4 linked regions of the Ovis aries genome follow. The protein of the gene in region 1 interacts with the protein of each later gene in a biochemical or structural test. Links are inferred from orthologs where the notes say so. Each region holds a gene or a part of one and is shown on either strand. Other genes may lie near its edges.

Region 1 (7,628 bases):
ATGCGGGAAGGGCGTGTGCACAGAGGGCACACGGGGCATGGCCGTGATGCGGGGCGGGCGGGCGGGGCACCAGGGTCACGGCCCGGACTGGCAGGCCGCCTCAAGAGGACGCAGGAGGGCCTGCAAGCGTGTCCAGCATGGCACGCTGTGGGAGAACAGGCAAGACCCACCACTCCGGAGCACTCCTGCACTGGACGTGTGCCCAGGCCTGGGTCCTCGCTCCAGGCTGAAGAGGGGCCCGTCCACCCAGCACCCGGCCCGCCAGCCTCCATCACTGCCGGGCCTCACGAGCCCCAGGGGCGCACAGCCGGGCCCCCGGAGGGCACAGCACCCGGCCCGCCAGCCTCCATCACCGCCGGGCCTCACAAGCCCCAGGGGCGCACAGCCGGGCCCCCGGAGGGCACAGCACCCGGCCCGCCAGCCTCCATCACCGCCGGGCCTCACAAGCCCCAGGGGCGCACAGCCGAGCCCCCAGGAGGGCACAGCACCTGGCCCGCCAGCCTCCATCACCGCTGGGCCTCATGAGCCCCAGGGGTGCACAGCTGGGCATCCAGGAGGGCACAGCACCCAGCCCACCAGCCTCACAAGCCCCAGGGGAGCACAGCCAGGCCCCCAGGAGAGCATAGCACCTGGCCCGCCAGCCTCTGTCACCGCCAGGCCTCACGAGCCCCAAGGGCGCACAGCCAGGCCCCCAGGAGGGCACAGCACCTGGCCCGCCAGCCTCTGTCACCGCCAGGCCTCACGAGCCCCAAGGGTGCACAGCCAGGGTCCCAGGAGGGCACAGCACCTGGCCCGCCAGCCTCCATCACTGCCAGGCTTCATAAGCCCCAGGGGGCACAGCCGGGCCCCCAGGAGGGCACAGCACAGGGGCCCACCCGCATCCAGGCACCACGGGGATGGCAGCCGCCACCTCTGGCCCCTCACTCCTGACCTGGGGAGCCCCTCGCTAAATCCTACTCCTTCAGGATGCCACTCAGGTGTCACCACCCCCCGGAAGATTACCACGTTCTCTCCTGGGCACCCACCACCTGGTGCGCCCTCCTTGAGGTGCCAATTGACACCCCTTATCACTGCCCACTTCATGTCCCCCAACCTGGGCATCCAGGACGGCAGGGGGGAGGGGGTCCTGCCTTCTCAGCAGGGGACCCCCGCACAAGCAGGGCTGAACCTGGGGCTGCTGACCTGCCAGGCGCAGGAGGGGGCGGTGCCCTGGCCTCCCTGGGAGCCACCCGAGGAAGCCAGGTCAGCCCCCTGACACGGCCTCACCCTAGAGGGAGGGGACAGAGGGGCACCCCCAGCCTGAAGCAATACTCCCTGGTCAACAGCCTGCCATCGGCGCACCCAGGACAACGGCCTGGTTGTTGCACGGGGAGCTGAGAGGCTGTCCCGCAGGCCGGCCTGGGGTGAGAATGGCCCTCGTTGTGTGTGCCAGACCCACGGGCCCAGGGCGCGGAGCAGCTGGGCCACGGTCGCCACTGGGCATGCGCCCGGGAGACTGGTGCCCGTCGGATGGGTGTGCCCTCCACCTGCTGCCCCAGAGAGTCTTGGGTGTGCTCTAGGGGTCCCCAAACCCAGACTCGGGGGTGGTGCTACCTGGCGGCTGAGAGACTGACAGGCTCACAGTGACAATCTGACGACACAGCCCTTCTGCACGCTCAGTATCTCCTTCACCTCGAGACACCAGGACTACGCCCATCCTACAGACAGGGAAACTGAGGTGCACAGCCGTTACCTGATCTGCCAGCGTCGCGGGCAGGACGTGGCAGAGGGGCCCTGAGCTGTGTGGCAAAGTGCAGCCAGGAGGCCCCAGGGCACTGGTCAGGTCCACGAAATCCAGGGCGTAAAGTTCACAGGCCTTGCTCACCCCCCCATCCCTGCCTGACACACACCCAGGCCGCGAGCACAGAGCCCCACACACGGCACTCACTCGGCAAACACTGGTTCTCTTCATACACGGCCGTCTCAAATGTGGGCCAAGATTATTTCTGGGGTATTCTGTTTGCTTGTCCCAAGGAGACCCTGTGGCCAGCGGATACAGCCAAAGCGTGTGTGTGCCCCCGCCGCAGCCCACACCCACAGCTCACTTGTGCCCTGGGACGCCCCCAGGAGGGCTGCCCCGTGCCCAGGGCCCTGGCAAGCCCCCGCTCTGCTCCGGGCTGGGGGGTTCAGGAGGGCAGCCCCTCACCTTTCCAGGGGTCCCCACACCCTCATCTCGGACAGAACTCCGGAACAGCTGGCCTTGGTGTCACCCAGGACAGCTGAGAGTTCAGGGACTGGGCTCAGGTCTTCAGTGCCCAGCGTGAGGAGCACGGGTGAGACCCTGCGCCAGAGCCACGCGCGGGGACAAGGCAGGCATGCCCCCTTCCCCGCCTACTGGGCAGTGCCCGAGCCCCAGACGCAGAGCAGGGGCTGGGTGTGGGTCTTCAGCCCCAGGCCCTGACCCCAGCAGCCAGAACAGGCCCACAGACACAGACTGGAAACCCAGCTGTGGGGGGTCATGGCCAGCAGGAGCCCTGACCCGGCCTTGGTTAGCAGTGGCAAGAGCAAGAGCCTCCGCATTCAGGTCCTGGGCGGGAAGAAGGCCGTGGGCAGGGAGCCCAGGCACGGACCCTGGCGGCTGGGCAGGGAGGGTCCTCGAGCCGCAAACATGGCCTGCAGCCTCTAGCACACCAGATGGTGGGGAGAGGCGGGCCTGGCCCCGGGCACTGAGGAGCCCCTGGGGAGGGACGAGAGCAGAGCCCACTGTCCCAGAGCCCACCTACCTGCTGACAGCTGGGAGTGGTCCTCGCACCCTGAGCTCCGCACCACTGCCACCCGCCCAGGGAACTGACCCAGACCCCAGACTCGCTGGGACAGTCTGGCCTGTTCAGTCTCAGGATTTGGCTTCTTGGCAGAGGCCAGCACAGGCTGACCTTGAGTTCACGGACAGCATCAGGCCCTGGGAAGCCACCACGGCCACCCCCCAGGTTTGCCACTGGAGGGGCAGAGACAGAGGCACAGCCCAGGTGGGGCGGCAGAGGCGTTGTTCCTTACAACGCCTTGGTTTCCCCACCTCGGCGTTCAAAGCCCCCTCTCCAGTCCTAAATGGTAACCCTCAGCAGCCCTTAAAGCAGCACCACCTGCTTCAGCAGGAGGAGGGAGACACACTGGTACAAAGAGCACAGTTCTCCAGCTCAAAAAAGGTCCCGAGCCCTGGTGTCTAGGGTGCGTGCTGGAAAAGGGGTCTGAGACGGGGCCCAGCTCCTCCACCCTGAGCCCGTTCCAGGCCAGCCAGTACTTCGTCCCTCTCCCCAGGCAGAGATGGGAGCAGGTCAAGTCAGGGGCTCTCCCGCCCGCCCCCTGGAGGGAGACCACCCTGGAGCTCCGTACTTGGGGCCTTCAGGGCCCAGAGAGGAGGAACTTGGACAGTGTCTTCCCGGAGAATGACCCAGTGCCCGCCAAGCACTGTCCCCACCCCCTTCCACCTGCTGGCTGGTTCTAGCTGCCCCAGCCAGCTGTGGGCTCCTGGGGGACGGAGGAGAGCTCTCCAGGCTGAGAGAAAACGGGCGCTGGGACCCCTAAAAGAATGACAGGTGGGGGCCACTAAGGCACAGTGTGGGAGCCAGTGAGAGACCCCACGGAGCTGGCAGTCCCCCCAGTCCCAGAGTGAGGGGAGCACATGGACGAGCTGGGCCACACCAGGAGACTACGCCCTGGGTCAGCTCTGAGGACAGTAACGTCCCTCTCTGGCCTCAGTGCCCCCATCTGCACCTGGAGGGAGCAGTGGCCTCTCTCACTCGGGCAGGACCCCCAGGGCACTGCCCTCACTTCAGTTCCTGCCCAAGCCTGGGCAGACGGGGCAAGCCTGCAGCGCAAGTGTACAGCTCTCTGGAGCTGAGGCTGACCGTCCTGGCAGAGTTGGAGACTGCCCTAGCCTGCCTCCACCCTGCACCCACTGGACTCTCCCCTCGCTGAGGTCAAGTGGGTGGCGGGTGCCAGTGCCAGAAGGGCTTGCCAACAGCTCCTCCCAGACTCCCTTCCCATCAGGCTCCACCTGCACTCAGGCCCCTCTCCTGCTTTTCCAGGCCTGTTAGCCCTGACACGTCCCTCCACACCAGCATCAGCTCCCCACCCTGGAAAGGAAACGGTCATGGGTGGGGGGAGATGAGGAATACCTCCGGGCCTGGCTGAAACCGGCACAGCAAACCCGGACAGGACCTCCCAGCTGAGAGTCTTAAGGCTGGGGAGAAAACAAGCTCCCTGTTCTCAAGACCAGCTAGAGATGGGAGACCCCAACATCTCCCCGGACTTTAATCTCTCACGCTCCCCTACCTCCCCCAGGCCTCGGCAAACCTCAGTTTCTCCGAAACCATCACCACTACCCGGGGCTCTGCCGAGCGCAGCAGCAACCCGGGCACCTAAGCCCAGGTGGCGGCCACCCGAGTGGCGGCCGCGCCCCTCCCGGCTCGCAGGCTCCACCAGCGCAGACGAGGGACCGGGATGGGACCGCCGCGTGGGGTTGGACTGGCCTGTCCACCGTCCAGCTCCCACAACGCTTCTGCAGAGAACGAAGGCCATAACTGGAGCCCGCCCCGGATCCCGGAGTCCAACGCTGGCGACCGAGGTTAATTATTAACTTCTCCGCAGACCACGCACTTGCTCCCGGCGCCCTCGATCCCTAGCCTGGGGCAGGGGCAACCGTCCCCCCAAAACACAGGGAGCACCACCCCGCCTCCTGGAAATTCACGGCCCAAGGGGCCCCGGGTCGCTGCTCCGGGCGATGGAGGGGGGGGCTCGGAGACCCGGCTCTCAGGCCCAAGGTCACCCGGCAGGCGCGGCCGGCAGGCGGGAGCGGGCCTCCGGCCAGCTACTCTCCCGGATCCAGGAACTTCCCTGCGGCCCGCGGCGCCCGAACCCGGTCCTTCCAGCAGCCCGCGGGCGCGCGGGGCCTGCGGTCGCCCACAGCCCCGGCCTTCGCGAGCCCGGGCCGGGCAGAGGGGGTTCGCAGGACCCCGGCCCCACGCCCCCGCGGCGGCCGTTCCCAGGACCCGCGGGTCCGGCAGGAAATGCCGCTCACTTAACCCCTCCCCGCCCGGGCCCGCCGGGTCCGCCCGGGCGCGGGCAGGGCCGGGGGGCCTCGGCCGACGGCCCCGGGTGCGCGGACCGCGCCCCGGCCGAGCTCACCAGGTAGTTCATGGTGTCCGGTGGGCCTGGGCTCCCCCCGGGGGCGCACAGCGAACCGCTCGCGCCGCGCGCTCGCGGGGTCCCGAGCGCCCCGAGGCCGCGCGGCTCCCGCGCCCCGGTGCGGCCGCCTCAGCGCCTGCCCGGCCACTGCCGCCGCCCAGGGCCGGCCCTCCTCGCCCCGCCCGCCGCCGCGCCCCGCTCCGTCGCGCCCGGCCGCGCGCACCCATTGGCCACGCGGGCCCCCATGCAAATGCCCCGCCGGGCCGGGGGCGGGGCGCCGAGCAGGGCCCGCCCCCGGCCCCGCCCCCAGGGCCGGGACTGCGCGGGGCTCCGGGAACCCGCCCGCCCCGCGCTCCGAAGGCCTGTCCCTGCCCTCCACCGAGGGCGAGCGCGCCCCTCCTCAAAGGCCGTGGCCTTCCTCTTCCGGGAAGACTGCCGGGATTGCCCTCCTGCTCTGCGGCCGTGGCAGCCCCGGAGGCGCCAGCCTTCCCCGCCTGCCAGCGAGGGTCATTTCACACGCGTCCATCCAACAAGTCCGACTCAGATCTGCACCCGGAGGAGTATGCCCCAGCTGGCAGAAAACTGAGATTCCGACTACCACCGCACCGACTCTGGTCAGGCGTGTGGTGTCAAGAGCCCCAGAACGTGAAGACACGGCAAGGACGCCGGGGAAGGCAGGGAATCCGGGGACGGCAGCTGTCTCCGTGGGTAACGCGGGGAGTGGAGGCCCGGAGCGCATCGTGTTCTAGAAGCCACAGTGTGCAGGAGGCCCCAGCGCACCGGGGACAAGAAGCTTGTCCATTTACCCCTTCTCCGAACTGAATCCAGCTTCCCTAGTGCTGCCCCAGGACCTCTGCCCCCACTCAGACCCCTCAGTCAGCCCTGTCCAGGGCTGACTCTTCTGGCCTAACAACTCCCCTGTTTCAGCAGCAGGAGCTGGGAGGGATGCTGATGGGAATGACCGGGAGGGAGAAGCCCTACAGGGAAGCTGACTGGAGGGCACCATGGTTCTGAACTTCCCCTCCCCAGCAGACAAGCTGTGACCGTCCCTGAAGGTGGTCCAGGGCTGCAGCAGGGAGATCTAGGAAGGAGCCAGCTCCAGACCTGGACGCTCCCGCGCCTCACATTTGGGGTTCTCCCACAGGCTGCCTTCTCGAGCCACCTGCTGAGTGTGCAGACACCATCAGGCAGCTCAGAATGCCAGCGAAGCAGCAGGGCATATCCTGTAGAGAACCCTCGGGCGTGGCCTATAAAATACAGTAGTACAAGCCCAAGGAAGACCCAAAGGTGTCCCTCCATTGACACCCAGGCTGACACAGCCCCTCTCCAGGTGTGCTACCATGGGCAGGCTCTCCCTAATCTATAAAAAGGAGCTGGGCTAGGATGCCCCACGTCTGGCTGGTCATAGATCCTTTGGAAAGCTTGTTCAGAAACAGATTCCTAGGTCCCCTCCTCCAGAAAAACTGGGAGTGAGAGGAATCCGGACATCTGCATTTCCCCCAAAACTGCTTGGGGAACCACTGGACGAAACTCTCAGCATAGTGTGTGGGTGAAGAGCAGCAAGGTTTGCACACAGGGGGACCTAGAGTCCTCAAGAAGGAACAGGACAAGCTGCCACCGTATGCCCGCCTTAGGACTGGCCCCCCTGTACTCTTCAAAACAGCTCCATTCCCCACAGAAGAGCCAGCTCTCGGGAATGTTAAGGGTGTCCCCTCCTGCTTGTTCCCAAGGCTACGCCCCAAAGTTAGAAAGGAAGCCGTGGGTCTGCCCTGCCCTCAGCCTGACTGGCACCTCCGCTTCCAAGGAAACATCGGAGCAGCCGGTCGTGAGTGAATATCTGTCCATGCTGAGTGGAGGGGGTCCTTAGGTTTTCCCCGGGGTCTCCACTCGGGTGGGGAGTAGGGTGGGGACCAGGCTCCACAGCTAGTCAGTAGGTCTCCACAGAGGTGGGCAGGGACAGCCCTGTCAGGCTGGCCTTGGGAGAGCGAGGAAGCAGCCTGGAGGGAGAAGACCAGAGACCCTCCCTCCACCGGATTAAAGCCAAACGGGGGCGGGGCTGCTCAAGTGGGCGGGCAGGCGGGGGAGGAGAACCCAGCTCTGGCCCAGGCATTTCAAAAATTTGCTTCTTTTCCACTTAAACTCCCCACTCCCCCCAAGACTGTGCCTCCTAGAATGGCATTTCCGCTTTGGAATCCAGGCCCGGGATCTGTGCCCCAGTGTGCTGGAAGGGGAGGGGTTGAAGGGGTAGCGGAGTGCCCCCTCCCAGGCCTGCCTTTGGGAACTGGGGGAGGGGCGCCCATTGGGCAGCTCCCGGGGTCTGTGGGGGAGCAGACCCTCCCAGGCCAACGGCCAAGGGACGCAGCCCCCAGGACAGCGCTCAGGCCAGCACTGGGCTAAGGCCTCCATGATCACGTGCTCATCTCGTGCCCACCGTGATCTTGCACAACAGGCTTCCCAATTCGCCC
Region 2 (7,422 bases), on another chromosome or scaffold:
TGGTTTTTGTGGTATATATGGCAGGATCTCTGGGGTAAGGCAGTGCACTAAGTCGTGTCCGACTCTTGCGACCCCATGGACTGTAGCCTGCCAGGCTCCATGGGATTCTCCAGGCAAGAATCCTGGAATGGGGTGCCATTCCTTCTCCAGGGCATAAATCTTCTCCTCCTTGTTTCACAAAAGTACTGTAATTCACACCTCTGCTGCATCCTGTTTTGAAATGCTCCACTGACTCTACTTACTAAAGTATTGTTTTTATCTTAAAGAGAATGGGTTTTTAAACTGAAACTGCCATATTTACTTGCAGCTTTACTGTCATCTCTTACAATTTTTAAATATACAAATGTCTAGTGTATATCACATAAACTTTAGCCTAATCAGAATAAACTTACTTCTTGTTTCAATACTTTAGTTATACATGACAAAGCTTTAAAAAGCAAAAGAAAATTACTGAAAAACGAAAGCCCAGACATCTTTTTTTCCTTCTATGTCTATTTATATGTAACTGACTACATAAGTCAGCCATTTGAGAATATTGAAGACAGCATGATCATTTGTTAGATGAAGATCCTAACTATCAGTCCCATACTTCAGTCTTGTGAAGTAGATAGCATTTATCTTCTTTTAAAATTGAAAGAACTCGGTCAATTCATTTTCTTGCAAGTGGCCAAGGTCAGAAAACTAACCAATGGCAGAGATGGTAGTAAACCTACACATGTCAAACATAAATGGGCATCACCCTATGTACACATTTACTTCTCATGATCACTATCTGCAATTTCATAAAGACGACAAGCTGAGATAGTTGTGACCAAGTTCCGGATCTGACACAGATTATCAGTTTAACCATCAACTTGAAATCATTTTGGTGCTATAGTTTACACCATCTCAATACCTTAGTATTCTCCTCTTTACAGGATGGGGCACACAAAAGGCCAATGCCAGGAATAGACAACTCACAGAATGACAACAGGCAGAAAAGTCTCTACTCTTACTAGTCATCACAATATTAAAATTAAAACAACATACTATTCTTCAACCTCGAATTATCAAAGATCCAAGATTATTATATGAACACTCATACATTACTGTTAGTTGTAAAAAGTGATACAACTTCAAAAACTTATTCATTTACATATTTCAGATGTTTACATCCTTTTATCTAGTACTTCCAACACCAATGGAAGATATCTTATGCAATAATTCAAAATAAAGAAATTTTATGCTTAAGTGTTCTCCACAGAATTATGACACATAATAGCAGAAAATCAGCGGCCTAAACTTTCAACTATAAGAAAATGGTTAAGCTATATGACAGTGGCTAGGTGAAATATTATATAGCCACCTAAAATTATCTTTACAAAGGAAAAACACCTAAATATTAAGTTGGAAAAAACCCTAAGAATATTAAATGGTACGTGTAGTATGGTCACAGAGAAGCATTAAAGACATTAACAAAGATAGCCTTTGGGTGATGGAACTACAGGAAGACTGAACAGAACAATGGAAAAACCACAGTATGAATGCCTATTCCACTTTCCTAAAGGTAAGGCATTCTTAATTACTGCTCTATAATTTCCAAATTTGAAACAATGAACATTATCACTTTATAAATGAATAGGGTTATAATAGCTAGATTACCCTAAGGCTCAGTTCTCAAATGCTAAAAATTTTAAAATGTCAGAATTTAAGAATTACAGAAGTGTTTATTATTAGAAGAATCTATTAGCCAATATATTTTCTTTTTGTGGCAGAGGGGACAAAGTTTTCCTCCAGCTTTCTAGTTAAGAGAAAAAGAGGCATAACTGGCAGATTTAATTATAGCTATTGCTTATCAAGTCACAGAATAAAAAAAGCAAGCACTGTAAAAGAACAGCCTTAGTCATCAAATCTTAAATGCAGAATCACCTAGATATCCCTAGGTATTAGGGAAGAAAAAGAAAACTCATTTAGTCCCGGAGAAACGAAATCTCCAATAGGAATCCCTGACTCATCCCCAAAGCATGAACCCGAAGGCTACTTCCCCTGTACAGGAGTTCAGAGACTGGGCACTTGTCCTGATGGCCTGCATCAGCAAACAATGCCCTTTCCTGACAGGATATGTCCATAGAGAACAAGAGGACCAACATGCCAAGTGGACAGGGTCACACACCTCTCCTTCCACATCCAAAGTAAGACTGTGTTAGACTAGTTTTAAAATCTAAGTAAATATTTTCTTTTATGTTTGCTAGAGAGTAATAAAAGGGGGACTCTGTCCAATTACTGTGATGTCATTTCAAAGATACCTAACACATTCAAAATTCCCAATAGGAAGAAGGAAACATCTTTAACTTTTTCAGATAAAAGGGAAATTGGGGGGGGGGAGATACATGGGCTAAGTATCAAGAGGAAATGTTTAAAATAAACCATAAATTATTTAATCAACATTTTTTACACTTTCAAAAGATACTAACAAAACCAAACTCCTATCTTCTATTATTGGTTTAGGGAGGCGGGAATCACAAAGCTCAACTATACTGTTATGACACTGAGTAAAGTTAAGGGTTAAGAATGTTAACGCTAAAGTTTTACTAGACCAAAGTCTCTTTAAAATGTGAAAAGTATTTCGTATTTCAGTGCGAAAAGCCATTTCACCTGCACCTTGTAAACAATTAAACTGTACTTTGAAACAAAAACTAGCCAATGTTTGCGACTCATTTTTATACACATTAACTGTGTATCTTTTTCACAATCCAGAATTTCAGAGTTAGGTGACTACTCTTGGAGGTGAATCTTGCCCAGAAGCAAAATTTTCCCTAGCTTATTTCCCATTTCCAAACCCCGCCAAGACTAAGGAGCAACCACTTCCCAAAGTCCCACTTCCTTTTCCATTCCCCAGACCTCCAGGGTTTCCAACGCCCCAGTCTTGCGCAATATCCGTAGGAGCAGCGCCGCAACCACCGCCTCCTAAGGCGAGAAACAACCCTAAAGGGAACATTGTCCAGCAGAAAAATAAAGGAGGGGGGGTGGCAATGGAGGAAGTCGACTTCTGGTCCCACGCCTTCGGATCTGACCCCCTCGTAGTGATGGCTCGAGAGCAATTCCACGACCAAGACTTTTAACCTCCTATCCAGCCCGCCAGTACAAGCAAAGGGCGGAAGGGGGAGGGGGGATGTCGGAAGGGGGGTGGGGAGACTACGAAGGTTATCTCCCAGTTCAGGGCTTCAGCCCGTACAGTCGCCTCCGCCCCACCAGGACTATTGTTCCCAAGTTCCCCACCCCCACCCCGGATAGGAAGTGATAGTCACATCCCCTCCGCCTTCGGCAGTATCCCCTAGGGAGTCTGAAGTAGGCTTCCTTCGGGATAACCACGCACCCTCCACCCCCACGCCCTGCCTCTACACACACTTATCCCTCAACCTCAAATCACGTTGACCCCTACACCATCTAAAACCTGGGTCTCAAGAGACAAGAGACAGGACGGCAGTAAATGGAAATCGAACATTCCACGAGATTTCCTATGGACTATCCTTTCTCTTGCATTGGAGATAATACTGCGAACCCAGAAAGAGCAAAAAGTCCTACCCTGACCTCTTTTGAGACCAGCTTGAGCAAAGGGACCCCACGAGTTAAATGCAACCTTAATAGCTCCGTTCCTCAGTCGGCGCTATCCGCTCTCCTTCCTGCCTCGACCCTCCCAGGAGGAGCAGACTGGATGGGGAGATGAGAAGAGCCTACCGGCCTGCACCTCATTCGCCTCCCGCTCCCAGCCCGAGAAACAATAGGTGGTCGCGGGCGGCGGCGCTAAGTGCGGGCTTGGCCAGCGGCCTCTCTTCGCGTTCCGGACGCGGGCGGAAGGGGCCGCGATCGCAGGACGAAAGGAAAGGAGGACGAGGGGCGATCTCACCTCCCAGCCTCCGAGTCAACCCCGGCCCTTGGGGTTGGCGCGCGCCCCCTCCGCCCCTCTCCTTACAGCCGCACACAAAGCGCCGGCGGTCGGGCCGGGCGGGCGAAGAGGCAGTGGGCTTGGATGCCGGTGAGAGGAGGCAACAGCGAGGGGAGGGACTCACCATGAAGTCCCGGGCGAAGTTGTCCTCCCCATTATGGTCCGGACTCTTCATGGCCTGGACCCTCTGGATGAATTTCCTCAGGATCTCCACTTGCTCCATCCTCCCCCGTCCCCCCGGTTGCGGTCGCTGGCCCCCCCGCCGCCCGCCCGCCCGGCGCAGAGCCCGCTCAGTCTTCCCCAGCTCGCGCCCCCTACCCGTCCCGTCTTTCCCGACCCCTGACGCTCCCTGCTCCTCCCCACCGCCCAAGGCAGCGGCGGCACCGGCGGCACCAGCCCGGCTCCCGATCCTACAACTTCCAGGAGCAGCCACTCTCCCACAGTAGTAGACGAGCCGCAGCGGCTAGCGCCAACCCCAACCCCCAGCTTGCTCCATCCTCCTTCCCCGCCCTGCTCCTGCTCCGTCGGAGACGCAGCCACCGCCTTAGGAACACGGCTCTCCGATCGCCCTGCCCCCCCCACCCCTTCCCGGTTCCTCCTTCCCTCCCTCCAGACTAGCAACCGCAGCCGCCACTCTCCACGGGCGCGCCCCCGCTGCCACCCAGACGCGCGGCCCCGCGCAGCGGCTAGATCCCCGGGGCTACGCCGAGCTGAGCCACGCCCGCTTGCCACGCCCCCAAGCCCGCCCCGCCTGTCCTAGTCCGTCTAGGAGTGGCTGGAAGGAGCTTCAGCCGTCAGCTGGGGGACTTGACCTCATTTCCGGGGCGTGGTTCCGCCCCAGCAGTTTGCCGGTCTGAAGAGAGCTGGTTGGAGGGAATTTGACTCCGCCGGACAGACGCTAGTCAGTTGGAGTAGGACTTGAATTGGAAACTGCGGTCTCACCGCCTTTTTGTGGGAAAAGTACATTTCTAGACTGCTTTCGCGCCGCCGCCGGCTTTGAGCTGGGACTGCAAGTCCCGGCCCGGCAAGAGTCCAGGAGTAGGGGCGGGAGAGGGCGGCGGTGGGAAGAGAGGCATGCTGGGAACTGTAGTGTCTTCACGTTCGCAGCAGGTACGTCTTCATCTTAATGTTGACGGCAATTAGATCTTGGCACTTTGGGCAATGGCCACGGCCAAGAGAAACGAAACGCTTCTTCAGTGAGAGGACTTTTTTGCTTTTTTGCAAATCAGTCTAAAACCTGGTGAAAGAGCGCCTGAGATTCACAGTGGTCCTAATACATAACACACGTTTGCTGAATTGGAGAGAATTTGTCTTCTTGCCTTTAGATTCGGAGCAACTCAGAACTGAATAATAGATTTTTCACCCTAGACTGCATCTTTGTAAGTCTTCTAGTAATCAAAGAAATCTGTCCTAGTCTTATTCACCATTTTACAATGAAAGTGTTTGCTCATGGTCCCCCAGTATATTCTTAGCAGAGCCCAAACTGGAACTCAGATCCTTTTTCTCTCACCAGCACCATGTTACCTCTCACTAAGGAGCGTAAACGTGATAATGTGACTGAAGTGAAAGACCTGATCCATGAACTTCTCTAGGTCACTTCCTTTTGTTCACTATACCACAAACAATGCTTTTTCCGGATAAGATTGGTTAGGCAATTTGGTTAAAATAAATATCAGTAGCAGGCCCCGTTTCCCAGATGAATGTTTAGAAGCACCGTGGAATTTAATAATAAACTTGAAGAAAACAGGTGTGAGTAGCAAGATCCAATTTCCTATTTGTTTTAAAGAAAAATATTTCTTTTTAAAATAATACAACTGATACATACAAATCTACTCTTCTCAGAAAGAACCACTTCCAGATGTGTCCTTCCAATTGTCTTCCTGTGCATTTGTATACAGGTATGTGGATATAAAAAGATACAGTTTTGTCCTGTATTTAAAAAAAGAGTCCCCTTAGAGGAATAGTTTAATTTCTGAGGTGAGCTTTTAAAATAAGGATCTGGAGTATTTTACTTTAATCAGATTATTGAGACTCACTGGATATGAGAAAAGATTAAGATCTGGATTCGCTCACCCACCAGTATAGCTCACTGTAGAGTACCCGTTTCCCCTAGAACTAGGCAAGGAATTAGAGTGTGAGCCGTAAATGGGCAGATGATCAGGACTGCCTCTACTTTTGATATGTCAGAAGAATGTGCAAATCAGATTGATAAAGACTATATGCTGGACAAACTGTATCAGTCTAGTGACAGTGGGGTGGGAAGTGTTGACTTGTTTTGAGTTATCCAGCCCTATTTTGGCTGATGGTTTTGCTGGGGCTTTTTTGTTTTTGTTTTTAACTTTTCTTATTACAAGCTTCTCTCTCTTTCTTGCAACACTAGTGTCTCCAAATCTCAGCAGCTACCTTTGGCATCTCATGTAGGTTAGGGAAAGCTAAAGTACCCTTATGGATTTCAGGTCTTTCTGGCTGTGTATGAGTAAGTTGTGAGGTAATAAGGGGAGAGACTGGAATGAACACTATTAGGAGGCAATAAATGACACAACAAAAGCTGAAACTAAGATCATAGCATTGCAATTACAGAGACACAGAAGGAGATGAGAATGAAAGAACTCACAGAACTCAGTGACTGACTTAGTGGGCAAAAAAGAAGGTGAAATTTTAAAATAACTAAAATTACCAGATTAGAAGAGATCAGAAAGTTTGACAGAACACGAGGCTGTGCATGCTTTGGACAAATGGAGACTTTTGCACAGATGGTGTGAGAAACTGGCACACCATCTTTGGAAGCAGTTTGCCCTTGTGTGTGTGTGTGTGTGTGTGTGTGTGTGTGTGTGTGTGTGTGTTAGTTGCTCAGTGGTGTCTCTTTGCAACTCCATACCCCATTAACTGTAGCCTGTGAGGCCCCTCTGTCCATGGAATTCTCCAGGCAAGAATACTGGAATAGGTTGCCATTCCCTTCTTCAGGGGATCTTCCCAACCCAGGGGTCAAACCCAGGTCTTTCACGTTGCAGGCAGATTCTTGAGCAACCAGGGAAGCCCAATTTGGCCATGTGTGTGAGTGCGTTAATCACTCACTCATGTCCTATTCTTTGTAACCCCTTGGACTGTAGCCCACCAGGCTCCTCTGTCCATAGGATTCTCCAAGCAAGAGTACTGGAGTGGGTTGCCATTTACTTCTCCAGGGGATCTTTACAACTCAAGGATCGAACCTATAAATGTATCAAAATGAAAATATCATGTATACTTTGACTAAAAAATTTATTGATAATATTTAGAGCTGTGTACAAGCATGTGTACTTTATACAGGCTTATTTGTAATGGCAAGAGTGAAAACAGTATACCTACCTATCAAAAGGTCACTGGTTAAAAAAAAAAATCACATATTTAAGTTCTGTGAAGCCATTAAAAAATGAAAAAAATAGTCTATATGTTATGTGTTGAGGTCAAATAGGTTTCAGAATCTGCTTATTAAGTGAGGAAAGCTTGGCACACACTTG
Region 3 (7,562 bases), on another chromosome or scaffold:
AACAGAGCACTGCCTCCTTTTACTTATCAGAAGGAAAACGTTGTTGCCCGAGTGAACCTCAAAAATAATCCAGTCCAACAGTTCAGATCAAGAGAATCATTCTTCTATAAAACGTCCTCTGAATCCAAGTCTCAAACGAGAGAAGGGTCACAGGTCAGACGGCTGTCAGCACTCAGGCGCCACGGGGACAGAACTCCCGCCTGGCTGAGGTTCCATCCAGCGTCACAACAGTTCTGTTCCCATCTAAACTGAACTCAGGGGATTTAAGCTACCGGTAAGAAGAGACTCAAAGGTTACCCATAGTGCCGAATTCTATGTCAACTGAAATCAGCTACCGCTCCTCTCCTACCTGCTACTCCTAATTACGAGCCCAAATGCCCCCTTAAACACCCAGGTTGCGGCCGTGGGAGAAGGCGTGGCCTCTGCCTGGCGGCCGTGAGCGTCCCCTCTGGGCAGGCGCTCAGGTGAGGTTGGGCATCCTTTCTGGCCCTCGCACAGCTGCTGCCTGTATCAGAGGACGCGGTCTTTAAAGTCAGCATCCAGGAAGCTCCAGAAGAGCCTGACAGGGAGTGCTGAGCAACATCAGATCTGTACCACCAGAGCGTGCTCTCAGCAATATCTATCGAGCAACAAAACAGGGGGGTGGGGGTGGGGAGGTGCCTCTATGAGCCAACTCGCCTCTGTTTTTCCCATCTTTGCTCCTCACGACCCTCCTCCCAGTCATCACACAGCTACACGAGCTGGAACCGGAAACTTCATAAGAGAAGCGACCTACGCAAAGCACACTTCCAATTTTCTAGACCCGGGAAAATGTACTGTCTCTAAACTGAACCCACTCAGAAACTGGACCCTGCTGTTAAACTGGAAACAGCCTCTATTAAAACGGAAAGAAAAACCCAGGAGCACTTACCTAACACTGAACAGAACTTAACAGAATCTTGGAAGTGTTCACACTCAAGTAAGATGGAGGTGAAGTGTCTGTTTATGCAACAAGCTTCAGCCTACAAGCTGCACCCGTGTGCGGAAAAAGAATCCTTTAAAATCTGTCATTGGAAAACCAGAAGCCACTGACACACCTTAAATGTAAGATCCAAGACAGGACTGAATAGTGCAACTCAAAAGGCAAAATTAACAAGACAACCCAGAGGACAGGCAGCTGCAAACACACCAAGTCATCTGCCTCTTCCTTCCTCCTCTCCGTTCCCCTCCCATCAGCAACCGTCTTCAAACCACAGCCGTCCGTCAGCCCTGCCAGTCAGCCTGCGGAACGTCTCTACTACAGATGGACGCACGGACGGACGGACAGCTCACCAATCGTCATCACCGTGACCTGGATTGCAATAATGGCCCAGGTCACTTCCTGACTGCAAACTCCCCCCTGGCACCCCACTTCCTTCCTCTGAGCAGCCGATTCAAGCTGCCTCTGCAGAGCCACGGCCCTGGCGCGGCTGGCTCCCCACCCTGGGCGCCCTCTTGGCTTCAGCCCTGCTCTGACCCTCCTGCCTCAGGTCAGCCCCGCCTGCTAGACCCCCTGCCCACGTGGACTTTCTTCACACCGACCAATGCTGTCTTTTACTTAAATCTCTACTTTCCAGCCTGTCTCCTCACTGACATCTAAGGCCCATGATGGAGAAAGCACGTCACCCCTCTCTCCCAGTACGCATCCCTGGGATTAACTCTCCTGTAATGTCTGGACAAGGACGTACACTGTGAAGTTAAGGGGGCGTCCCTGTGGTGCAGAGGTTGAGACCCCAGCTGCCACTGCCAAGGGCTCAGTTTTGGTCCCTGGCCAGGGACTTTGGCTCCCACACGCTGCACGGCCAAAAAAAAAAAGCTACTCCCCCAACAAAAAAAAGAGATCAGTCCTTAAATTCTGAGGAAGCCAGTAAGTCGTCACTTTTTACTGAGCAAAATGAACCCCAAAAAATAACTATTAGCCAAAGCGCAGAAGCTCTGGCTTCAGGAGCTCGGTTCTGAGGCCTGAAAGAGCCTAACCACTTCATCCATCCTGCCTGGGGCGTGGAAGCACACGGCCCTGATTTTTGCCTTTGGCCAAAGCTGGCCCGGCCTTGTCTTCTACACTAGCTGAGTAATAAGCGCATCACACAGATCCGCGGGTTTCTGGCTCCGGGAGAGGCGATCCAGGTTCAGTGTGACCAAGTGAATCCTGCCAGGATCTCATTCAACTGGGGCAGCGGCAGCCCTCGGAGACACCAGGGGAAGGAAAACTCGACGGCAGCGGGACGCCCGGGGCAGCGGGCGGAGAAACAGCAAAGCTCAACTGGAGGCGGGGGCAGCGCCAGGGAAAGGCCCCAAGGGCAGGGAGGCGCGCCCGGTGAGGGGCGGGTGGGGCCCGAGCAAAGGTCCTCCGGCGCGAGTGGGCGTGTAGCGCGGGCTCCCTGGAGGCGGCGGGAGAGGGTGAGGACGGGCATCTGGGAAGCAGCACGAAGGGAAAGCTGGGGGTGGCGGCTGCGGGCACTGGGAAGCCAGGGCCGCGCCCCTTTCTCTCCACCCAGAGGGGCTCGAGTCCCTCCCTCACGGCTGCACTGAGGCGCGCGGCGAGGCCCAGTCAGTGCCCGAGAGAGCGCTCAGTCACCTTCACAAGCCAGAAGAGCCAGTTACGCGAACGCAGCTGAAGCCTCACCACTGCGGGAGCCGAGAGCCCCCAGCCTCTCACGCTGGAATCACACTGTGCTGAGCGCTGCCTCTAGCTCCCAGGCTCTTCGGGGACCTGGAGGCCTCGCCAGTCAGACTCGCCGCGGCTAGGCCTTTGTTACGCAGTATCTGATTTATAATCCCTGTCTCCCAGCTTTTAAAGTCCATTTAGCTCAGCAGTTAACCTCCTGGTCATTACACCGCGAGGGCTTCATTCTTCTCTACCTCTAGTCCACAGAAGCATCCAGTGCGTCCCCCTTTAATACGACAGCTTCTCATGTTCAGAGCTGAGACTACTATCTTGTCAGCAGATCTATCAAGTCAGAACCATCTCACCCTGAAAAAAACCTGTATTAGCACCCTGTCCTTTCTAAGCAGACGCTTGAAAAGATCAATACCTTTTATTTTTAAAACCCTACGCCATCTCTTTAGCTCAAGTTTTGCATAATCTGCACAAAAGAAGCCTCGAGCAAAATATTAAGGCCAATAATGAAGCCCAAATGAAAAGGGATGCCCAATGCTCAGTGTCACTCTGGGTTATTTTAAAATAGATACTAAGTCATGCAACTCAGTACAAAAAGGACATCTGAAATTCAACTAGCGTAGAATCTTCAGTGGAGTGTCATTCAAAATTTCCTCTTAGTAACAGTCTAGACTCATTCCACCTTGGAATTTAACCAAATGGATTTCCAGTCCATTAAAGGCCCAGCTTGGGGGAAATCTATTAAAAAAAAAAAATTCCTCGTTCAAGCCGACCTCTTCTACAGTATTTTCAGTTAATGTGTTATAAAACAGACGCCTGGCTTATTTCAACCCTGGCACCAGGCTATCAATATATGGCCCTGATATTTCACAGGTAAAGGCATTTCGTTTCTACCTGCGAAGGCATTTCCATCTCTAGAGTTTCCAAAGGCTGCCGTCCGGGAGGTCCAACCCCGGAGCTCAGAGACCCTGAAAGCGGTGCAAACTCGGGAGGGCGGGGGGCAGGGAGGGGCCCGCGGGGCGGGGAGCCGAAGACTAGCTTCAGAGTCTCAACCCGTGGCCCCAAACCGGCTGCAAGACCGGGAGCAACGCCCTGCTTCAGCAGGTAATTTGCACCGAGGACGCGACGAAGGGCAGAAAGCGCCCCTTTTCCAACTGGGCGCCCGCAGCGCGAGCTGCCGGGCCCGACGCACCGCCCTCACCCACGGCGCCCCCGGCCGGCGCCGCCGCGCCGAGCCCCGCGGCCCCGCGCACCTGGGCGCCGGCTCGATGAGCGTGGTGGTGTCCAGGTAGTGGATCTTGTAGAACTCCAGCAGCGCCGGCAGGTGCTCGAACTCCTGGTCCCCGATCTTGAAGCGGCGGTTGGGCAGCGAGTTGATGATGTAGTGGGACACCCGCGAGTTCTCGGACACGGACAGCACGTAGTCCCCCGGGCAGGTGGACGAGTCGCGGACGAGGAACACGCCGTGGCGCTGGCCCTGGAGCCGCGTCTGCGCCTCCTGGCGGGACACGGGCCCCATGTACCAGGCCGAGCGGTCCGAGGAGTCGAACCTGGCGGAGGACATGGCGGGCGGCGCGCGGGGGGCCGGGCGGGCCGCTCTCGCCGGCGCTGGGGGCGCCCCGCCCGCGGCGGCTGCGCGCCGGCCGGGCCTCGGGCTCACCGCGCGCCTACAGGCCCGCGCCCGCGCCTTCCTCGCGGCCGCGGGCCCGCAACATCCTCCGGGCCGCCGGCCTGCTCCGGGGCCGCCGCGCGGGCCCAGCCGGCTCCGGGCGCGGGCCCGGCCGAGCGCGGCGAGGGCGGCTCGCGGCGCCTCCGCTCAGCCCTGGCCCCGGCGCGCGGCCGGCCCCGCGTCCCCGCCGCTCCGCACCGAGCCCCGCGGCCGCGCCGAGCCGCACACCGCCCGGGAGCGCCGCGCCGCCGGGGCCGCCGAGCCCTGCCCCGCTCCCGAGAGCCACAGCAACAAAATGGCGGCCGCGGGCGCAGCGGCGGCCACCTCCCCCGCCCCCCCCCGCGCCCCGCGACTGCGCACGCGCGCGCGCCCGCTCCCGGCGGCCGCCGGCGCCGCCCCGTGACGTCACGCCGCGCGGCCAATCGCGAGGGCGGGCGTGCGCCGCCCGCGCGCGGCGCCGCGCTCCCTCCCGGGCCCGCCGGGGGGCGCTGCGGGGAGGCGGCGCTTCTGGAGCCCGCTCCGGGAACAAAGCGGGCGGCGCGGGCCAGGCCCGGCCCCCGGGCGCGGCCCCGGGCCGTGCGCAGCCGGGCCGGCCAGGTTAGGGGGTGGCGGGGCCGACCGCCGCGGGTGCTCAGGCGGTGGCTGGCGAAGCTCCCGCGTCCTCTCGGAGCCCTTGCCGCCTTGGCCCCCCCAGGACCCCCGCCGCAGAAGCCCCGGCCCCTGGCCGCACCCCCGTCCGCGCCGGACCGTCCGTTTCACGGGAGCGGGGTTTGGTGCGCCTTGTTCAGCCCTGGGCCTGGCGCTTCTTCGCCCCGCCCTACGCTGATCTCAGACCTGGGCGGAATGAATGACTGTCGGGGACCCCCCGCCCCCGCCCCCGCCGGCCGGTGGAGGCGCCTGTCCAGAGGGGCATCGGAGCCCGGCTCTAGACTCCTGGGGAGCCGATCTCGTTGCTGGGCTGAGCCTGTCCTGCACTGTAGGTAGGGCAGGCGTCCCCAGCTTCTGCGACCCAGTGCCTGATGACGGGAGGTGGAGCCGATGTAAGAATAACAGAAAGAAAGTGCAGCGTGAAAGGAATGCGCTTGAACCATCCCCCGCCCCGAGGAAAAACTGTCTTCCACGGAAGGGTCCCTGGCGCCCAGGATGCTGGGGACCACTGTCGCAGCGTGATGGCTGACGTTCCTTCCGGGTAAACTCAAGGGGAATCGTCACGGCCTAGGGCCTTTTGTGACTCAGCAAAGCAGGTTTTCAGCTTCCCTCCAAATACTTTCGCGTCGTGTTACTTTCGGGCACAATTTGAATAGCTCAGAATTTGAAGAGGAAGGCTTGAGTTCCAATCCTAACCTGACTTACCAGTTGACTGTATCATTCCTTGTCATATTTTTTTCATCTTCTAATATTAATTTTTCTTTCAGTTTTATAGAGAGATAGTTGACATACAGCACTGTACAAGTTTAAGGTGTACAGCTTAATGGCTTGACTTGCTTACATCATAAACTGATTATCATCACCATAAGTTTACATATAGATACAAAATTAAATACAAAAAAAATGTTTAGTGAGCATCTCAAAGATACACAATTATATCTCAGAGAAGTTATCATAGGTTGTATGCTTTGCAAGAGGCACTCAGGGAGGTCTTTTGAAGTCCAGGACTCATTTCAGTGTTACACAATTATTGCCTATAAGTTAGTCCATTTTGCTTGCTTTGCTAATGTGTGTGTGTGTGTGTGTGTGTGTGTGTGGCGGGGGGAGCTATTAATTACATTATTCTACTTTTGTGTATGTTTGGATTTTTTCACAATAAAAATAATTAAGTAATTTCTTATTTTTCCTTAGCACAGCTGAAACAAGCTTAAAAACTTTTTCCCCCAAAAAAACAGCCTAGCCACTAAGAGGTAATGAAATGGAAATGAAGGGGACAAACGACAAGAAGCTTTAAAAAGGGGCCATAACGTAAAAAAGATTTGTGATTCTGCTCTAGCTTGCTCTTCCCGAGGTTTCCAGGTAGCATTGTACTTACTCTCTTCTAAGATAGTTAGTTTAGACTCAATTGACAAGGCTTTTCCAGCAACTTGCCAGGGTTCCTGTCCCTGAGGCTGCCTCTGTACTGAGGATTCAACGCCAGCTCTCTTTTGTGGCCTCGCCACGTGGCATGCAGGGTCTTAGTTCCCCAACCGAGAATCAGACCCGCAGCCCCTGCCTTGGAAGACAGGGTCTCAGCCACTGGGCCGGCAGTGAAGTCCCCTCACCGAGGAATCTTTTTAATTATGTGTTTGTTTCCCTTTTCTGTGCGGGGTCTTCATGGCTGCACGGTTTTTCTGCACTTGCGGCGAGCGGGCTTCTCGTTGCGGTGCCTCCTGCTGCAGGGAAGGGCTCCAGAGCGCAGGGCGCGGTGGTTGTGCCGCTGCTGCCCAGCTGCTCCGTGGCTTGTGGGATCTTACCAGATCAGGGACCGAACCCACGTCTCCTTCACTGATAGGCAGATTCTTTACCCAGTGAGTCACCAGGGGAGCCCCCACCCCGCCCCACTGACTTCTGATTCTCCCCTGTCTGGTCCAACCCTGCAAGCGATGGTTAAGGCCGGACGGTCTTCCCAGGTTGCTGCCTTACTGAGGACCCGGGAGGACAGTGTCTGTCCCTTCTTCCTGCCCTAGATTCTTTGCTGGCAAAGACAGTAAGGTAGAAGAGGCCTGCCTGTGTTACGGGGAGACGCAGCAAGCGCGCTCACCGCGCTGACCTGATTGGGTCGGGGGTTCTCAGGCGTGGTCTCCACGAGCCCTGGTTGACCACTGCCTGGGTTAGACACATCCTTGGAGACCCGCCTCGCCCTCTCACCCTGCAGTTCTCCGTCACTGCTCCCCCATGCTTCATGTCTATTTCCAAATTTTTCTCCCTAACACAAAAGAGGAGCTTATTGGTTATCTTCTCCCCCACCATTAGTTTGCTACTTCGATACTAATAAAATAATGTCCAATCCCGATTATAATTTCCCATGACGCACTATTTAAAATATCAACCTGCTCATCTCTTCTTTCCCAGGGGGACATCTCTGCACGAGGCTTGGCTGCTGTGTTAGGAAGTTCTACCGACCCCTCTAGAAAACACTGGCCGACTTAATTCCAGTGTCTTAAAGTCTGGTCATGGCTCCGCCTGGCATTCTCTAACCTAGTTCTAATGGCTCTGCCGCCTCTTGTATAAAATATCCATTTTCTCGGACTTCCCTGGCGGTCCAGTGGCTGAGACTCTTTGTTC
Region 4 (6,830 bases), on another chromosome or scaffold:
TTAGTCCAGAGAAGGGGTGAGAGACTTAAAAAAAAAAAATTCTTTTTTAATAAAGTAAGTCTGCTCTGGCTGATGAAGGGTGATAAAGGGAGAGAGCGGGGCCCAGGCCACCGAGGGCCCAGCTGTACCCGGTCCAGCATATGTCCTGGGAGGCGCACAAGCCCCAGGAAGGTTTCAGCTGGCAAGAGGTGGGGGAGACCTGGTTTAGAAAGATCGCTCTGGATGTAGGGGCAGAAGAGACAGGAGAGGCAGGCGGTGGCCTAACAAACAGGTCCACGTTGCAAAGTCCTCAGAAGCGAGGCCCACACTCCGGAAGGGAAGCGCAAGCAGACACTGTCCCTGTGAGAGGAGCAGCCAGGGAGACACCAGGGGCCCAGCGCCTGCGGACCTGACAGGGCCCGCTCTGCCTCCAGTCGCTCTCACCGCTGGGCTGTGCAAAGGGGCACTTTACCAGAGAGGGCAGGCACGGTCAAGGCACGGCAGGAACTTGCTTTCCCAAAGTGAAGCTCTGCTCGCACCGCTGCACGAAGCCAGCAGAACAGCCCAAGAAGCACAGGGGAGAGGGAAGCGGGGCTCACGCTCCAGGCGCTGGGCAGGCCGGCCGACAGGGTAGGGTGGAGACCAGGGCAAGGGCCGCTCAACCTTTCTCTCCTTTAAACTCACCTGTTTATCTGACTTGGTTACAATAAGCATGTAATTACATACTGCTTCTTTGGATTTTTCTAACAGAAATCTAAAGCAACCTGAGGAAATGAACAGACAAACGTCGCCCTAATGGACTGGCACCCGCACGGACAGTGGCGTGAAGCGTGGGCAGCTCCAACTCACCGATCCTTTCTCCATCACTCTGTTGAGCATGACGACGCCCCTGCTCTTCTGCTCCCACACCATCTCCCAGAAGTGACCGCAGGTGTTGGGTAAAGGGCCCTGCAAACACAATTCACAATGTGTGCATCTTACATACAAACCCGTCCTGGTGCGAGCTCGCTGTCGGTGCTGAGTGGACAACAGCGCCCTCAGGTAGCGTGGAAGCCGTGGCTGAGGCCAGGACCTGCCTCTCCCTGCCTAGCGGTCAGTAACCACAGTTCTATTTTCTACCATGTAGCGAAAAGTCACTTCCGTATCTCAGAGCTGGTTCAGAGCTGAATGACAGAGGAGAGAAAACACTGATTCTGCTTTCTGGTTTGGGCAGGCTGGAGCAAGGGCACCAGAGATCTCTGCGTCAGGGCGGCTGGGACAGCGAACAACACTGCTGGCTGCAGATGAGCGGTGGAGGGGAAGGGCCCCACCCGCACACCCCTCGGACAAGCCACCTGCCTCCCTTCCCGCAGCTCCTCCGCCCAGCCTCTAATCGTCAGAGCACATGTTCACAGGGCTGGGAAGATGGTCACAGACTGACTACACCTTTCTGCAGGACCCGGAACACAGTAAATACCCTACAAAGTGTAAGCTATCATTATTACTACTATTATTGGCCAATCCGACCACAGACTCCCCTCACCCTTGGAGCACGGGACCTAAGAGATGAGGGCACACAGATAGCCGGGGGTGGGCAAGGGCCGTGGTGCCACTGGCCCCAAACATCACTCCAGTCCAGAACGGGTCTGAGGGACTAAAGTCATGGAAGATCTGAAAGGACACACACCAAACAGCCAATACTTGAAGGTGGGCGTGAAGGCCAGTATCCGTGACATTACTCTCTACAGGTTTAAAAAGTGAGGCGAGAGCCTTGCATTCTTTGCTTAATGAACGACACTGAAAAAATGGGCACTGTGTTCTTGGTTTTGTGGCATGGAAATGATTTCAGTCCCACTGTCCAGCGGTGCAACTTTGGGGCCAGGCTGCTTGAACCCCTTACGTGAATCTCAGGGCAGAGGGAGACCATGTCAGCAAGCAGCTGGATACATCTGGGGTGCGATCTGACGGACAGACGGAACTTCAGATGTGCCAAGCAACTGCGAGGGTGCTGGGGTGGAGAGGACAGCGGGGTAAAAGTTTTCATGGTGATTTCCTAATTCCCGTTTGACTTTATATACCCTATCTTTGCTTTGGGCTTGCTGACCCCAGACCAAGTTGAACGGCTGAAATCAGGAAGTAAGAAACTTGACCACTTCTAAAACAGAAGTTCCCAAGAAGCCACTTTGCCACAACCTCTTCCCACCAGCTTGCCACCAAGGTCTCCCTGCCCCTCACCCCAACCCCAGAGGGCTGGGAGGACCACGGCTGAGGGCCTGGGGACTGATGTTCCGTACAATGCCTGGGGGTGGGTGTCGGGCCGACTCTGGTCATGTGTGGAGAGGAACCCGGATAGAACAAAAGGACAGTCAAGAAGGGCCCCCAAGAAAAGGCTCCAAAGCAGACTCTGGTCACTGTGCTGCCTTAGCTTCACTGCCATTTTAGCCTCCGAATATTAGACAGGGTTGTGATGTTCACAGTCACCCTAGAACCCAACCTAATATAAGACTGAGAAACTGACATGGAAAGAGAAAAGAGGAAATGAGGATTGAGGGGGGGCGGAGAGAGAGGGAGAGAGAGAGAGAGATTGATTTAGACTGTGTATATCAATGTACCAGTAAGAGATGATGACTTGAGAAAATCGGTTAAGAGAGACCCCTTCACCCTCTTCCCCAGACTCCGGTGGTCTTTGGGTCATATACCAGTGTTTCACAAAAGGCCAATTATGAAACCACTGTTGTGATTTCTTTTTCCATAAAGACGCCAAAAACCAAGGGGAGTTTCAAGTCATTCTGTATGCTTCTCCACATAACCTAACATACCCCTCCACCCCCAAAGAATGAGGACCACGCAGAGGAATTCTGAAAGGCCATCTGGATAAAGATTTCTGGTCTATTACTAACCCTCTTACGTGTCCATAACCAGCTCTGATGCCCTGAGGCAAATACTTAGGGACTCAACACAGGTACCGTCTTCTCTAGCTACTGCCTCTGTCAACAAACTAGACAACCCTGGCACTCTACTGCTGTTGTCTACAAATCCAGCAATGACATACTTCCCAGAAAAGATTCATGTCATGACTAGACTGAATCTCTGAAGGAAGACTTTTCCCTCCCATGTTGCTTTTTTGGGTTAGAAACCTGGTCTTCTAAAAGATGTGAAAGACTTTATGTGAGGCGTGGATAACGGCACTGTCAAACTCTTTGGCTGACATCGAGAGAGGCAAAACCCACTAGAGAAAAATTCAGACTCTGTTTACCTGGGTGAGAATGTAACTCCTTTGGGCTTCTTCCATTTTTATCAAACTAGCATTGATATAGTCGTTATCTTCTTGATGCAGTTTAATCCGACTGTGATCAACTGAAAGGCAAACCAGAATGCAAGGTTAATCCAGGGGGACTTAAGTGCTTACACAGGCGATGCGCCCTATGGGGAAAGCAGAGAAGGCGAGTGAGGTGCTCAGGGTGTTCACACTGGCTGAGTCCAAACTGTTCTGAGATTAAATTAGTGTCTCCAATAATGGGAACAACAAGTACTTTCAGAAGGTTTTTGAAAGTATCTGAAACTTGATACAAAATAGCAACAGAAACAAATTACACTAAAACACAGATTAATTCTTGTTTGGGAAATCTGTTTTTAGGCTTTATCGTCTTATAATATTTATTACTGTCCTCACACCTCAGAAGACGGGGGGGGGGGGGGGGGGGATGTCAAGGAATCTGTTCTCTGAGGCCTAAAACATACTTTAATGAGTAAAAAATGCAATGGCTTTGATCTTTAAAAGGGAACAAAATCCACCAATATTCCACCCAGTCCCCAGAGTTCAAGTTGGTACAATGAACCAAGCTGTTCATTTACGATCGCGTCTCAGGCTCACCTGTGCCTAATGCTTCCAAGATTAAATGGCTGAAGTATACAACAGTGTGAAAATTCATACCCTGAATTCCTTGATACAAGGTTGTCTTTAAAAAAGCTCAAGTATAACATAAATGTCACAATCAAAGACACTTAAAAGAGAGTTTAACAGGAAAACATAGACTCTGAATCCAAAACACAACACTAAAAATATATTAAAAGTAACTTTCAGAATAGTTTTTAGAAATACACTTGCATTTGAAAGGTCTACCCCAGGTTACTAAAAAACCACAGCCGCTTCTTCTCCTCTTTACCACATTGTCACAAAAGCCCTATTTTCCTGAAGGCAACTTTCCTTATCTTGCCAGGCCCATTAACAAGAGCAGGTGGGTGTTTTTATTTCTGGTACAAACAAGGGACAGTAAACTCAGCTGACGGCCCATAAACAGTTCTCCCCTTGCCCAGAGAGAAAGGAAAACTTAATGCGGATAAGCAGTTAGCGGCTTTCTACTTGAAAGCGTTCCAAAGAGATGTTTTAGTAGATTAGCCATTGTTTGGAATAATTTTTCTCATCACAGAGGGTTAGTACACACTGAAATACTCAGGTGATACTGAAATGGGCCATGGACATAAGCGGCCTCACAGCACTGGGTGGTGACCTCGGGCAGAAACTTATCTTCTGAGTGCTGAGTGTTTCACCTGCCAAACGGAAGATACCAGGATCACCTTCTACCTTGAAACATTCTTCCCATTTCCTTCATAACTTTAAAAGCAAATTACCTTCTCTAGTGAAGAGTGGAGGTAGGGGAGAAAAATGCAAGGAGTTAAGACTGGTTAAAACCAACCTAGATAGCATATTGAAAAGCAGAGACATTATTTTGCCAACAAAGGTTGGTCTAGTCAAGGCTATGGTTTTTCCAGTGGTCACGTATGGATGTGAGAGTCAGACTGTGAAGAAAGCTGAGCGCCGAAGAATTGATGCTTTTGAACTGTGGTGTTGGAGAAGACTCTTGAGAGTCCCTTGGACTCTCAAGGAGTCCAAGGAGATCTAACCAGTCCATTCTGAAGGAGATCAGCCCTGGGATTTCTTTGGAAGGACTGATGCTAAAGCTGAAACTCCAGTACTTTGGCCACCTCATGTGAAGAGTTGACTCATTCGAAAAGACCCTGATGCTGGGAGGGACTGGGGGCAGGAGGAGAAGGGGACGACAGAGGATGAGATGGCTGGCTGGTATCACAGACTCGATGGACGCAAGTGTGAGTGAACTCCGGGAGTTGGTGATGGACGGGGAGGCCTGGTGTGCTGCAATTCATGGGGTCGCAAAGAGTCGGACACGACTGAGCGACTGAACTGAACTGAAAAAGTTTGGGAATTGTATCCCTGGAAGAATATTTCAAATGCTGTTTTTTTTCTCTGTAAAGCTGGTTTACAAACTTAGATGAATACTGACCGAAAACACAGAAAAGAAATATGAAAGATAATATTGTTGCTAATTCAGAGCGAGTACAGCAAAGGCTCTAGACCAAGGGCTTGGTGGGCACGAGCGTGCGGTATGAACTGCGGTGGTGACTCCAGTGCAGGGCAGCTGGCCAGGGCCTCATGGCAGAATTCCCTGAGAAGAGGCCATCAGTATTATTCTTAAATGACATCTATGTGAAGCCATAGCCTGGAAGTGCTAAATCAAGAGAATCAGGCACTGGGGCAAAATCCTGTGTCACCTGACCCAGCCGCGTGGCGGACGTGCCCAGCGGGCACTTCAGCTCCTGGCCGTCTCAGCCACAGCCGACACTGAGAGTGAGACTTGGGGCTAAGCACTGATGTGTCCTGACTTCCGTCTGCGTCCAGTCCTGAGATCCCTGTGACTCTGGTCTGACTGAAGATCAGAGGAGAGGGCAACCCGCCTGAGGCCATGCAGCTCAGAGGGGCAGAGCTCCGCGGCAGCTGTCGGAAGTAGACTGCTTAGCGCCAGCCCAGGTCTAATTCACTCCCCAGCCTACAGCCTGGGGCACCGCACCATCTGGCAGGAGGCACTGCCACTCTCCCGTGGAGGGCACCAGGAGCCGCCCCTGCAGCGGGCTTCGGTGGGACCGGTCTGCTCGGGGGCCTGGCGGCATCGTCACGTCCCCGGCAGAGGGCACTGCTGTGGAGCTGCTGCAGCCACGGCCCTCACTGCTGGGCGACGCCACGTGGAGGTGAGTCCCAAGGCTCTCTGTGACCTAGAGGAGGCGGTGAAGTTCCAGTCCTTCCCTCCTCTCTAGTTTTTCTCACTTTACACAGATTCTAACACAGTTATTCACTTTCGAGGGATCAACGGACTGAAAGCCAATTACTCAGAAGGCAGAGGAGGCTGCCAGCAGCAGGCACACTGAGAGCTAAGGGCAGCAAAGAGCCAGAAAAACAGTGATGGTGGAGGGGGTGACCTGGGGGGAGGTGAGGTCAGCGAGCAGAGCCGACTGTGTCTCTAGCTGAGGTGGTGGGTGAGTGCCTCACTCACCCCCACCTGTGCCAGTGCAGGGCATCACTACCCGTCAGTACAATGCTTCAGGCCCAACAGTACCAAGTCACCCAGAAGGGCTTATATTACGCCTGCCATTACACACACTCAGCTGGTAGGAAAATGATTCATCATTAAAATAGTCAAAGCTAAGAAAAGCGCTTTGAACTTCGCTGAATTTTCTAGAAACTGAAACCTTATCCCTCCTCCATGGGTGGAAAAATGAACCATTACTATAAGCCTCTAATACCTTCATCATAGGAAACAATCAAGTCACAAACCTTGACTGCTACTGATTTATCACCAAACCCCAGGGCTAAAGGAGTCTGAGAGGCCCGCAGCCTCGGAGGAGCCGGCTGGATGGGAGCAGGTGGCTGTGGTGTGAATACTTACAGGGACTGACGTCTCTGTACCTGTTTCGGTTTTTGTTCTTAGGAAGCTTGGCCACTCTGCATGGGAAGTCACTGGCTTCATGTCGGATATCCTACAAAATAAGAGATAAAGAGTTCTCTCTTGAAATCTCTG

The links.
Region 2: the proteins of BCAR1 (region 1) and PTPN12 form a complex in vitro, tested with the Homo sapiens proteins (3 studies listed by BioGRID and IntAct, with this or other methods). The link is inferred for Ovis aries from reciprocal best matches to the Homo sapiens genes BCAR1 and PTPN12.
Region 3: the proteins of BCAR1 (region 1) and CRKL interact in a test that uses a peptide from one of them, tested with the Homo sapiens proteins (2 studies listed by BioGRID, with this or other methods). The link is inferred for Ovis aries from reciprocal best matches to the Homo sapiens genes BCAR1 and CRKL.
Region 4: the proteins of BCAR1 (region 1) and PTPN1 form a complex in vitro, tested with the Homo sapiens proteins (3 studies listed by BioGRID and IntAct, with this or other methods). The link is inferred for Ovis aries from reciprocal best matches to the Homo sapiens genes BCAR1 and PTPN1.

The regions. Positions count from the first base shown.
Region 1 is NC_056067.1:2,075,860-2,083,487, forward strand, and holds the start of BCAR1 (breast cancer anti-estrogen resistance protein 1), read right to left. Parts: upstream 4,562-7,628; 5' UTR 4,558-4,561; coding exon 4,333-4,557; intron 1-4,332. UniProt on the Homo sapiens protein: Docking protein which plays a central coordinating role for tyrosine kinase-based signaling related to cell adhesion. Implicated in induction of cell migration and cell branching. Involved in the BCAR3-mediated inhibition of TGFB signaling.
Region 2 is NC_056057.1:45,189,277-45,196,698, forward strand, and holds the start of PTPN12 (tyrosine-protein phosphatase non-receptor type 12), read right to left. Parts: upstream 4,589-7,422; 5' UTR 4,149-4,588; coding exon 4,050-4,148; intron 1-4,049. UniProt on the Homo sapiens protein: Dephosphorylates a range of proteins, and thereby regulates cellular signaling cascades. Dephosphorylates cellular tyrosine kinases, such as ERBB2 and PTK2B/PYK2, and thereby regulates signaling via ERBB2 and PTK2B/PYK2.
Region 3 is NC_056070.1:72,320,690-72,328,251, reverse strand, and holds the start of CRKL (crk-like protein), read right to left. Parts: upstream 4,605-7,562; 5' UTR 4,203-4,604; coding exon 3,892-4,202; intron 1-3,891. UniProt on the Homo sapiens protein: May mediate the transduction of intracellular signals.
Region 4 is NC_056066.1:78,580,103-78,586,932, reverse strand, and holds part of PTPN1 (tyrosine-protein phosphatase non-receptor type 1), read right to left. Parts: intron 6,790-6,830; coding exon 6,699-6,789; intron 3,316-6,698; coding exon 3,215-3,315; intron 928-3,214; coding exon 829-927; intron 1-828. UniProt on the Homo sapiens protein: Tyrosine-protein phosphatase which acts as a regulator of endoplasmic reticulum unfolded protein response. Mediates dephosphorylation of EIF2AK3/PERK; inactivating the protein kinase activity of EIF2AK3/PERK.